3 linked regions of the Elephas maximus indicus genome follow. The protein of the gene in region 2 interacts with the protein of the main gene of each other region in a pairwise test. Links are inferred from orthologs where the notes say so. Each region holds a gene or a part of one and is shown on either strand. Other genes may lie near its edges. The genes, in order: USP13, TRIM63 and TNNI2.

What was found.
Region 1: the proteins of TRIM63 (region 2) and USP13 interact in a two-hybrid assay, tested with the Homo sapiens proteins (2 studies listed by BioGRID and IntAct). The link is inferred for Elephas maximus indicus from reciprocal best matches to the Homo sapiens genes TRIM63 and USP13.
Region 3: the proteins of TRIM63 (region 2) and TNNI2 interact in a two-hybrid assay, tested with the Homo sapiens proteins (2 studies listed by BioGRID and IntAct). The link is inferred for Elephas maximus indicus from reciprocal best matches to the Homo sapiens genes TRIM63 and TNNI2.

What each region holds. Positions count from the first base shown.
Region 1 is NC_064819.1:35,280,020-35,283,767, reverse strand, and holds the start of USP13 (ubiquitin carboxyl-terminal hydrolase 13), read left to right. Parts: upstream 1-902; 5' UTR 903-1,186; coding exon 1,187-1,354; intron 1,355-3,748. UniProt on the Homo sapiens protein: Deubiquitinase that mediates deubiquitination of target proteins such as BECN1, MITF, SKP2 and USP10 and is involved in various processes such as autophagy, endoplasmic reticulum-associated degradation (ERAD), cell cycle progression or DNA damage response.
Region 2 is NC_064821.1:66,565,891-66,569,638, reverse strand, and holds the start of TRIM63 (E3 ubiquitin-protein ligase TRIM63), read left to right. Parts: upstream 1-897; 5' UTR 898-1,008; coding exon 1,009-1,167; intron 1,168-2,560; coding exon 2,561-2,733; intron 2,734-3,748. UniProt on the Homo sapiens protein: E3 ubiquitin ligase. Mediates the ubiquitination and subsequent proteasomal degradation of CKM, GMEB1 and HIBADH.
Region 3 is NC_064825.1:136,028,870-136,031,732, reverse strand, and holds TNNI2 (troponin I, fast skeletal muscle), read left to right. Parts: upstream 1-959; 5' UTR 960-1,170; intron 1,171-1,361; 5' UTR 1,362-1,367; coding exon 1,368-1,490; intron 1,491-1,614; coding exon 1,615-1,704; intron 1,705-1,818; coding exon 1,819-1,995; intron 1,996-2,132; coding exon 2,133-2,228; 3' UTR 2,229-2,303; downstream 2,304-2,863. UniProt on the Homo sapiens protein: Troponin I is the inhibitory subunit of troponin, the thin filament regulatory complex which confers calcium-sensitivity to striated muscle actomyosin ATPase activity.

The sequences.
Region 1 (3,748 bases), on a different chromosome or scaffold from region 2:
GCGGGCAAGTAAGGGCTCGCTCGTCTACTTCACATCTACTTCCAGGGGCCGCCGTTTTCTCCCTAGCGAAAACGGGCAAGTTGGAGTCAGGGAGGGTAAGAGAGAAATAACATAACGAAAAAAAGGAATTTAAGGACTATTTGGTTGTGGTTTGTTTCACTTCATTTCTTGCTATTTCTGCGTTTCCTTAAACGTCAGGGATCATTGGGTGCTCTGACCTGTAAGTACCTCGGGGGCGATCAAGGAAACTCAGTGGAACGGAACTCATGTTTTAAGGGTATTTTGGAGGCAATAAGGGCGTGCTGTGAGGTGTGCTCTGTTCGCATCACCTCCCCCCTCCCCCAGCCCAACCCCATTTGTTATTTATTTTAAGGAACTGCAAGAACAAGACAGGAATATGTATGTCTGCACATAGGGTCCCTTTTGAATGTTCGAGACCGGCACCTTGAAACTCGCCCTAAATGTACCAGAAACCTTTATGATTGCACAATATACCTCTATCTTCACTGTAACTTACCCTATTCTGTCTGAGCTTTGGATGTTAAAAAAGTGAGGAAAAAGGCTTAGTGAGGCAACACCGAAGTGCAAAGGGCAAATTTAGATTTGGGCCTGATGTTAGGTTCCAGATTTGCACATGGAGTGCCACCTGGACCCAGTCCAGTGAAGGCACCGCTCTTATCTTAAAAGAACTGTTTTTTAAAAACCCCTAAATCCTGCTTTTTGTGTTGGCTGCATCGAATTGCCCCTTTACAACCGAACTGATAGGAACACCGTGGCCCCGCCACTCCGCAGCTGCCGGCGTGGGCAAGGAGCGCCCCCCATGGAGCCCTCCTTTTCCGGGGTCCTCGTCCCCGCCCCCGCCCCTCCCGGCTCCAGAACCCAGGACCCCGGGGCTCGCCCTCCGCCCCACGCCGCCGAGCCCGCCGGGGCACAAGGCCTCCCTCCGGAGCCTCTTCCCCGGCGAGCTGCGGCTGGCGCTCCCCAGCGCCCCGCCTGACGCTGCAGCTGGGCCGGCCATTCGCTATTGGATTAAAAATAGCAACGTCCCCCCGCCCGCCCCAGTCCCGGGGGCCCGCTCCCGCCCCGTGGCCCGCTCTGCGAGCCCCGGCTGGGCTCTTGTCGCCGCTCGCCCGCCGCCGGCCACCCCGCGCTTCGGTTCCGCTGCGCTCGGGCTCGCCCCGCGGCCATGCAGCGCCGGGGCGCCCTTTTCAGCGTGCCGGGCGGCAGAGGCAGCAGGAAGATGGCTGCAGGAGACATCGGCGAGCTGCTGGTGCCCCACATGCCCACGATCCGAGTGCCCAGGTCCGGGGACAGGGTCTACAAGAATGAGTGCGCCTTCTCCTACGACTCCCCCGTAAGTGAGGCGCGGCAGCCGGCGCCTGGGGGAGGGTCGCGGTGCGGGCGGCCTGTGGCGCCCGCGAACCGCGGAGCTCGGCGGCACATGAAGCCGGGGGCAAAGATGCGCAGCGGCCGCGGGGACCTCCTCCTCCGGGCGGCGGAGTTGGCTCAGGGGCGCTGCAGTTGGGAAAATAGTGAACGCCTACTGGTGCCTGGCGCTGCGTTCTCCAAGGCTGCTGCAGCCCAAGACTGGGGCGCGAGAGTGGTTCGCTCCGCCAGCCTCTCTGGGCTGAAAGGGCCCCAGTTCCCAGCAGCCAGCCCACAGCCCCGCCATCGTTTGAAAGACCGAATCTAAGAGTTTCCTGCGCTTAACTGCACGTTGCAGATGGTTTGCTTCCTCCCCGGGGCGAGAGGGAGAGCGGGGGGCGGGTCGGTGGAGGCGATAGATTCCACCGGGCTCACAGCCCTTCCTGTTTCTGTGACCGCTTGCTTTGCCCAGGGATTCCCACTCCTGGACGTGCCAGATAACGCCCTCAGCTTTTCTTCCTCCACGTCCCATGTTCTCCCCACTCCTTTCCTTCCCGTCAGAATGTCAGAAGAAACTGTCGGGTGCTTCCACTCAGGCAGCAGAAATATGGGTCTGCTGGATTATTAAGGTTTTCTTAAGCCTTTCCCCTTCCACCTCAAAATGAGTCACTTGGATACGCTAGTATAAATTATTAAAAGTTCAATTCCAAGTCGTGACCTCAGAGACTGGAGGGGAAAGATAAGACCGATCAGCGCCTTCCACACAGGGCTGTTGGGGGTGGTTTCCACCTGGTTTGTGTGTGTGTGTGTGTGTGTGAAGGAGACAGAGGATGAATGCCCCTTTCAGGAGTCAAAATGGGCTTCAAAGTGACTCAGCTGTCTGGCGTTTATCATGTCTTTTTGAGGACCGGGTTATTTTTATCCACACACTTCAGAGCTCATGTGTCATGGAGCAGATCTCAGTGCTTTGGGAGGTGTGTTGATTGCAGGGACAGGCAGATTTCACAATAGACAAACACATTTTATTCATATTCTGTAGAGTAGTGTTGGGGGGTGACATAGGGGCTGCAAATTATCCAAAGCAAACTTTATTACCTTGTGGGCTGTTTTCAAAGCATTTTGTGTTTTGTTGAGATTACACGCGCGTGCACACACACACCCCTTGCGGTCGAGTCGGTTGGGACTCATAGCGACCCTCTAGGACAGAGTAAAACTGCCCCATAGAGTTTCCAAGGAGCGCCTGGTGGATTCGAACTGCTGACGTTTTGGTTAACAGCCTTAGCACTTAAGCACTATGCCACCAGATTAGAGTCCCAAAATTAGTATCTTCGCTGTGATATTTAGGTTTTTTTTTTTTTTTTTTGTCAGCCCCGGATCATTTTGGAGATAAAAATCTACTGTTTGTTGATTACTTTTTTCTTCCAAAAAGATTCATGTAGAGTGGAGTGAAATGGTTGTATTTAATCTAGTGATGATACTACTTAAAGCTACTGCGAGCAGTGCCATTAAGTCCTGTTATTCCCAATTATTCGAAAATGCCAATTTCAGATTTTGTGTCTAGTGTTGGGAATGGTTCCCACTGATTGCTCCTGAGAGTGAAGCGCGATGATGGTCCTAATTTAAGCAGCTGAGAGGTTGTGAACTCCAGGAATAGGGAGAAAAGCGGCCCAAGTCTCTTAGGATGGCACAACACGTGGAATTGGAAAAACGGCTTTCTCCGTATTTATTTTGGGTTGCTCTTCGTGTTCTACTTACCAACTTTGTTATCAGAAATCTTAACCACATTATAGACTGTATGGGAGGTTTGAAAAAAACTGGTTATTTTAATTCAATCCCACAAATAGTTATTGGTAGCATACTGTGTGCTGAACACTATTTTAGAAACATCTTGTTAAGTGTAATATGTTGATTCCATTCAAATCACATTAGTTCCTTTGGGGAGATTGGGTTTATTTACAAGGGCAGTATAATCATTATCTATGTTTCAGGGGAGGAAGAGGAGGAAGGTTTTGTAACAAGTTAGCTTAATGCACAGTGCCTGATAATGAGAGATCTTTCCTTATAAAATGCTTCATGAATCCAGTAAGGGTTTATGGAGCACCTACTGTGTGCCAACTCATACATGCATGAATATAAGAACCATACAGAGCAAAATCTTTAATCTATAACTACTTTGGAACTGTGGTAGAGAAAAAGCTAAAATCGATTGGAAAAAAAAAAAAACACTTCCTTGCATTGGATGCATTTGGAAAAGGTCATAGATAAAGGTGAAGTAAAGGAGACCAACATCCCAGCAGGAGAAATTACATGTGCAAACACATGAACTGTGAAAATTTTTTAATTTTTTTGCCTGTAATGTATTTGGAAGAAGACGCTAATTTGG
Region 2 (3,748 bases):
GTGAGAGGACCGGATGAGCTCCAGGAAGCCCTTTCAACATGAAAGTGGAGTTGGTGGCCAAGGGATGGAGGGACTGGCTAGGAGACTCAAGAAGATTTGATGGAAGGATGGGGTCCCTATCAAGGGATAGAGGATGGGGACTCCAAGGTCTCCTGCAAAATGTTGTGCTCAGGTCCGAGGCAGAGGGATGGGCTCAGAAAGAGGGGCTCCCTTACCCCACATCTTGGGAGGTGCCCAGGACTCCAGAGAAGAGAAACAGGGCTTCCAACTTGGGGTTTGAACACCTATTGAGAATTTGCATTTCTAACAAGTTCTCTGCTGAGGATTTGCTTTTCCACCCCAGATACACTGAACCAGAATCTATAGTTTAGCAAGATCCCCAGGTGATTCTTATGTATAACTGGGTGGGGGAGGGGCTTGTTAGAAGTGCAAATTCTCAGCAGGAGTTCAAAAGGGACAGATCAGGTTCAAAGCCCTGAGGGGAAAGGACTTGATTTAGGTCAGAGGGTTTCTCTCCTGTCTTTGAGGGGGCACTGGCTATTAACCCCTTGAATCCTAATGGTTCGCTGGATGAGTCCCAGCCCTGCCTCCCCAGCCGGGGGTCGGGGGGAGAAACAATTTCTGGAGACAATTCTGAGTACCCATTCCCCCCTGCGGCCTGCCTCCGAACAGGCTGTTCTTGTTTACGACCCCCATCCTGGGAGAACAGCGATTGCTCATCCCCACGTGTGATTTGAGAGGGTGAGTCTTCCAGGCCTGGAGGAAACTCAAACCCCGGCAGCCAACTGGCATCGGAATGCTCAGCTGGTTCCCTCCCGGGGCTCATGTGACCAGGGTCCAGCTATAAATATCAGAGGGGCCTCAGCCCAAGACAGAATTCGGGCGCCAGAAGAAGGAGGCAAAGAGGCTCTGTGCGGGTGTTTTGTGACAAAGGCAAGAGCCCCAGGTCTGCCCATAGTTAGGTGCAGGCGAAGGAGGCAGCCAGGTAGGCCTATACCTACCGACAATATGGATTATAAATCCAGTCTGATCCAGGTTGGGAACCCCATGGAGAACTTGGAGAAGCAGCTCATCTGCCCCATCTGCCTGGAGATGTTTACCAAGCCAGTGGTCATCTTGCCGTGTCAGCACAACCTCTGCCGGAAGTGTGCCAATGACATCTTCCAGGTCAGTGCCCGGCATGGTCTAGTAAAACCCTTCTCACCTAGCCCAGGACCTTTCCAAACTGCTGCTGGCTCTGTCCCCTGCAAAATGAGTCCCCCCCGCGCCCCCGTGCAGAGGCCTGAGGACTCAGCTGAGGGGTGCGAGGGAGGCTGCTCTGGCCACTCCAGTCCTTCTCCATGACGCACGTTTCCCCTCTCCATCAGGCCTACAGCTCCCCCACCCCTGCCCTAAGCAAGGCAGTTGACTTTCCGATCAAGAGTCAAATGCCTCAAGAGATAAGTAGGGGAGGCAAGCGGAAAGGAGAGAGAAACCAGACCCCTGGGGCTGGAGCCAGCTCTACTGTGGCAGGGGGCCCAGAGCTTTGGGAGGAGGGTGGTGGGGAGGTACTGGACAGTAGAGGCATCTTCCCTTTTGAGGTTGGTCCCTGTAATCCTGTGGAGGGGTGGGGGTGCCCAACCGCCCTAAGAAAGGAACCAGAGTGGACCTTCTGGCTGGGAAGCGGGGATCAAGTTTCCCCAGGAGCACTTTACATAAACGCTCTTTCACTGTTTTATCTTCAAAGTAGCAACCCTAGGAGCTTGCTCTAATTATAATGTCCATTTCATGAAGGGGCATACTGAGGCTTAGATAAGGTTACTTGTTCAAAGTCACATGGAAATCCTGGTGGTGTAGTGGTTAAAGAGCTATGGCTACTAACCAAAAGAGGTCAGTAGTTCGAATCCACCAGGTGCTCCTTGGAAACCCTGTGGGGCAGTTCTACTCTGTCCTAAAGGGTTGCTGAGTTGCAAGTGACAACAGCAATGGGTTTGGGTTTTTTTTTTTGTTTGTTTATTCGAAGTCATTTATCGAATAAATGTAACTTGAACCCAGGTTCACCGATTCTTAAAGCAGGTATATTATCTTGTGTGGTTATTGATTGCTTAGTTGCTTCTCAGGTGCTCCATGTGTAAAATGGGCTGGTTCTCATGTCAGAATGGGGAGCTCCACGCAGGGGCCTATCTGTGGAAAACAGTGCCTATGGCAATTAGCCTTAAATTGTTGAATGATCTCTCACAGCTGGCGATGGAAACTGCAATGGCGGATGGCCAGTGGAATCAAAACTGCTCGTTAGCACCCTTCGTTAGCACCCTTCCTCAGGTGGCCAGTGGAATCAAAACTGCTCGTTAGCACCCTTCCTCAGGTGGCCAGTGGAATCAAAACTGCTCGTTAGCACCCCTCCTCAGGTGGTGCCCAGGGCACTGCCCTACCTACCATACCTTAGTTAGGCCTCTGGCAGGTCATATGGTTCGACAAGAATGGTTGGTGTAGGCAGGGGTGGGGACGGCTAACAGGAGATTAGAAAGGGAAAGGGCTGGCCAGGGATCCCAGGCCCCACCTCTGCCCTTGCCATCTGCAGGCTGCAAATCCCTACTGGACCAACCGGAGTGGCTCGGTGTCAATGTCTGGTGGCCGTTTCCGCTGCCCCTCCTGTCGCCACGAGGTGATCATGGACCGGCATGGAGTGTACGGCCTGCAGAGGAACCTGCTGGTGGAGAACATCATCGACATCTACAAGCAGGAGTGTTCCAGGTCAGCTGATCCTCCCACCTCTGCCATTCTGTACCAGCTCTCCCCGGCTGTCCTTCTCTTCCTACTTCCGCTCAGGATCCGGCCTCCCAGCAGTCCAGAGAGCCATTTCCTTCTGCCTGAGGAACATACGCCCCAACCCTGGCTCTCAGTATCAGTCAGTGAATAAGGAGGAGTCCAGACAGCAGGCTGCCCTTCTGGGAGATGCTGAGACAGAAAGCAAGGGAAAGATAAGACGGGAGGGGGAGAGAGAGGCACCCCGACCAGCTAAGCGGCCCTGAAAAGAGAAAGCACCCAGGGAGAATTTGGCCAGTAGTTACCCGCCGTGGGTCAGCAGGCACCAGCACTGGGATGCTTCTTCTTGGCACCTCTTAACAATCCTATGGATCGGCCACAACTTTTATTATCCCCATTTCACAGATGAGGAAGCTGAGGTTCAGAGAGGTGAATCCATTTACCCAAGGTTGTGGAAGTAGGTGATCTAGAAGGAGACACAGTTGATCTAGTTCCAAATCTGTTTATGAAAGAGCAGCTCAGTCTCAGGCAGAATTTGTGAGTGGTAGAAGTTACACAGCGTCAGGCTTCAAACCGGAGAGAGCTTTACATACAGTCAGGACATCCCGACAAGACTTCCAGGAGCCTGATCCCACAGCCCTTATGGTCCAAAACCTTTACTGAGCACCTGCTACTGGTAATGCCCTGCTGGAGGGAGGGTGGCAGACCAGGCCTGCTGAGAAAGAGCCCTGGCCTTTCTGTCTGAATCTGTTACTAATGCACTCAGGCACTGGCCTTTGGGCCTTCATTTCCCTCGTCTACAGAAGGGGACAGTGAGATCCGTTATTGTGATTGTGAAATAGGATATCGATGATTAAAAAAATACCAAATATTTATTAAGTACCTACTTTTTTTTTTTATGTGTAGGGTACTAGGAGCCCTGGTGGCACAGTGGTTAAGCAGTTGGCTGCTAACCAAAAGGTTGGTGGCTTGAACCCACCAGCCTGCTTCCGTAAAGATTTAC
Region 3 (2,863 bases), on a different chromosome or scaffold from region 2:
AGGGCTCCCAGGCAGCCCTTGATGACCAGACCTCCCTCTGGACACACCAGAGAGAGATTTTACGGGTCGAGGGACCCCCGGAGCTACACCCCCAAACCAAGCTGAGGAGCGGCTCTCATGCACTTCGGCCAGAAGCCAAAAAAGCAGGGGTAAAAATAGCCGAGTGGCCAAGCCACCACCTGCGCTGGCCAGTCCGGTGCCTCCCCCTCCCCCGGGGACAGCTGCAGCTCCTCCGGACCTTACCCTGGACACTCTCTTCTCTAACCCCCACCCTGGGGAATTCCAAGACAACAACTCCCTTCCAGGAGGTGGAGGCTGGGCGGGTGGAGGGGCCAGGGTGCCCTGTGGTGCCGCACCCTGCTGCCTCTAGGGGGCGGTGACCTGACACCTGTCCTTTCCCTCCCACAGGCTTTAAGCTCAGGACTTCAGGATGGGGGAGTAAGTCGTGTCCCCAGCCTGCTGCCACCTGCCCTCTCCCACATGCCCCCCCAGCAGCTGCCCCCACCCACCTCACCACCACTTAGCCCCTTCCCCACCACCCCAGCTCTGCCCCCCACCAGCCATGACCGTGACCCTAACCTCTCTCTTCTCTCTCCCCCCTCCCCTGGGACAGTGAGGAGGTGAGTACTTGCTTGGGGGGGGTAACACATGGAGGGGATGGACCCCCACTGGGGATGGGTCAGAGGTCAGAAGTTCAAGCCCAGGGTAGATGCCCAGCCGGCTCCCGACCCCTGCCGTGAAAATGCCCCATCCCACAGCCCCCCAGGACAGCACTGATAAAACAGAGGAAGTGGTACCCGGTGCCTGACGGTCAGGGGAAGTGGGGCTGCGGCCTGGTCCCATGGAGGGGGTTGCTTCTCCTTTCTGACTGCCTCCCCCCCCCCACCCCCCGGCCTGCAGCGTCCCCCGCCCCTGCTGCTGGGCCATTTCTCCTCTGCCCCTGCCTTTAGGAGCTGGACTGCTCCCTGGGAACAATGCCATCTCCACACTGCACTGTGTCCCTGAGCTCAGCTTTGGGAGACACCCACTCCTCTGCACAGAACCCCCTGGCTCAGAGGGGGGATGTAGGGGGTGGGGGGTGCTAGGCCTCGGCCGCCCTCACCCGGCTCCCTCTCCCCTGCCCTGCAGAAACGCAACAGGGCCATCACGGCCCGGAGGCAGCACCTGAAGGTACAAGCGGCAGTCCCGAGGGTGGCAGGGTCTGCTGGGGGCAGTGGGGTCTGCGGGGGGCAATGGGGGTCTGTGGGGGGCAGTGGGGTCTGTGGGGGACAGTGGGGTCAGTGGAGGATGGTAGGGCCCATGCAGAGGGCGGTGGGGCCCCCATGGCCAGCTGCAGTCCCTCACCACCCGGCTGCCGGCAGAGCGTCATGCTTCAGATTGCGGCCACAGAGCTGGAGAAGGAAGAGGGTCGTCGCGAGGCGGAGAAGCAGGCCTACCTGAACGAGCACTGTCCACCCCTGTACCTCCCCGGCTCCATGGCCGAAGTGCAGGTACCGCCCAGATGCTGCCTCAGTTTCCCCACTTGTCAAGCAGGCAGAGCCCTGTAGGGGTGGTCTGGGGACAGAGGCCGGGGCGGGAAGCGGGTGACATGGTGACTGAGGATCCCACCCCCAGGAGCTCTGCAAGCAGCTGCATGCCAAGGTGGACGCGGCCGAGGAGGAGAAGTATGACATGGAGATGAAGGTGCAGAAGAGCACCAAGGAGGTGAGGGGCTGCGGGCTGGGGTGCAGACACCAGACCCGGGCCAGAAGGGAGAGGCTGTGGGGGCAAGTGGGGGCTGAGTGCCCCCTTGGGTGCTCACTGGGCTCCCCTCTGCAGCTGGAAGACATGAACCAGAAGCTGTTTGACCTGAGGGGCAAGTTCAAGCGGCCCCCACTGCGGCGGGTGCGCATGTCGGCTGACGCCATGCTCAAGGCCCTGCTGGGCTCCAAGCACAAGGTGTGCATGGACCTGAGGGCCAACCTGAAGCAGGTCAAGAAGGAGGACACCGAGAAGGTACACCCACCCCACCCCGGGTGCCCCAGCACTGCTGTGTCCTTGCCCACCCTGGGAGCAGGGAGGGAAGGCCCAGCCATTCAGCTTACAGGGTCTGGGCCCCATGGTGGTGGACCTGAGCCTGTCCCCCACTCCAGGAGCGGGACCTGCGCGACGTGGGTGACTGGCGGAAAAACATCGAGGAGAAGTCAGGCATGGAAGGCCGGAAGAAGATGTTTGAGTCTGAGTCCTAGGCCGCTCACCTGGCAGGGCCACCTGCAGAGCCCAAGCCAGCTGGGCCCATCTCACTGGTCAATAAAGGCTGCACATCCCCATGACTGGTCTGGTCTGGTGCTGCCCTGAGTCACTGTCCCCAAGCTGCTGGCCACCTCCTGCAGCACGTTCTTGTCTACTGCCCACCTGGTGGGTCAGGCTGTCACCTCCTGGGTGCCACCTTCTGTGACACTGTGATCAGGGACGCGGGCCAGTTGTATGGCTAGGATAGGGCAGGAAGTCCTGTATGGCTGATGGAGCCCACCCTGCTGCTGGCTGGCTCCAGGAATGAGTCCCCGGCACTCATGACACTTTTACAGCCTAGGAGGGGGCAGTGGCCTAGGACTTACTTTGTCTGACTCCAGACTCGAGGACAGCCAGCTCAGGAGGAGACGGGCAAGCATGCCCCACAATGCAATGTGGGCAGGACAGACCCCCGACCCCTAGGCTGCCCCTTCTCCAGGAGCCACAGGGCCCCTGGCTGCTGCCCCAAGTGTGCCCCCACACGCACTTCCCTCTCCTGCTCATCCCCTTCCCCAGCCTTTTTGGGCCAACCTTTCCGCACCCCAGACCCACCGTGTTTCTGTGTCTGCCTACTGGCCTGGGCACTGAGGCC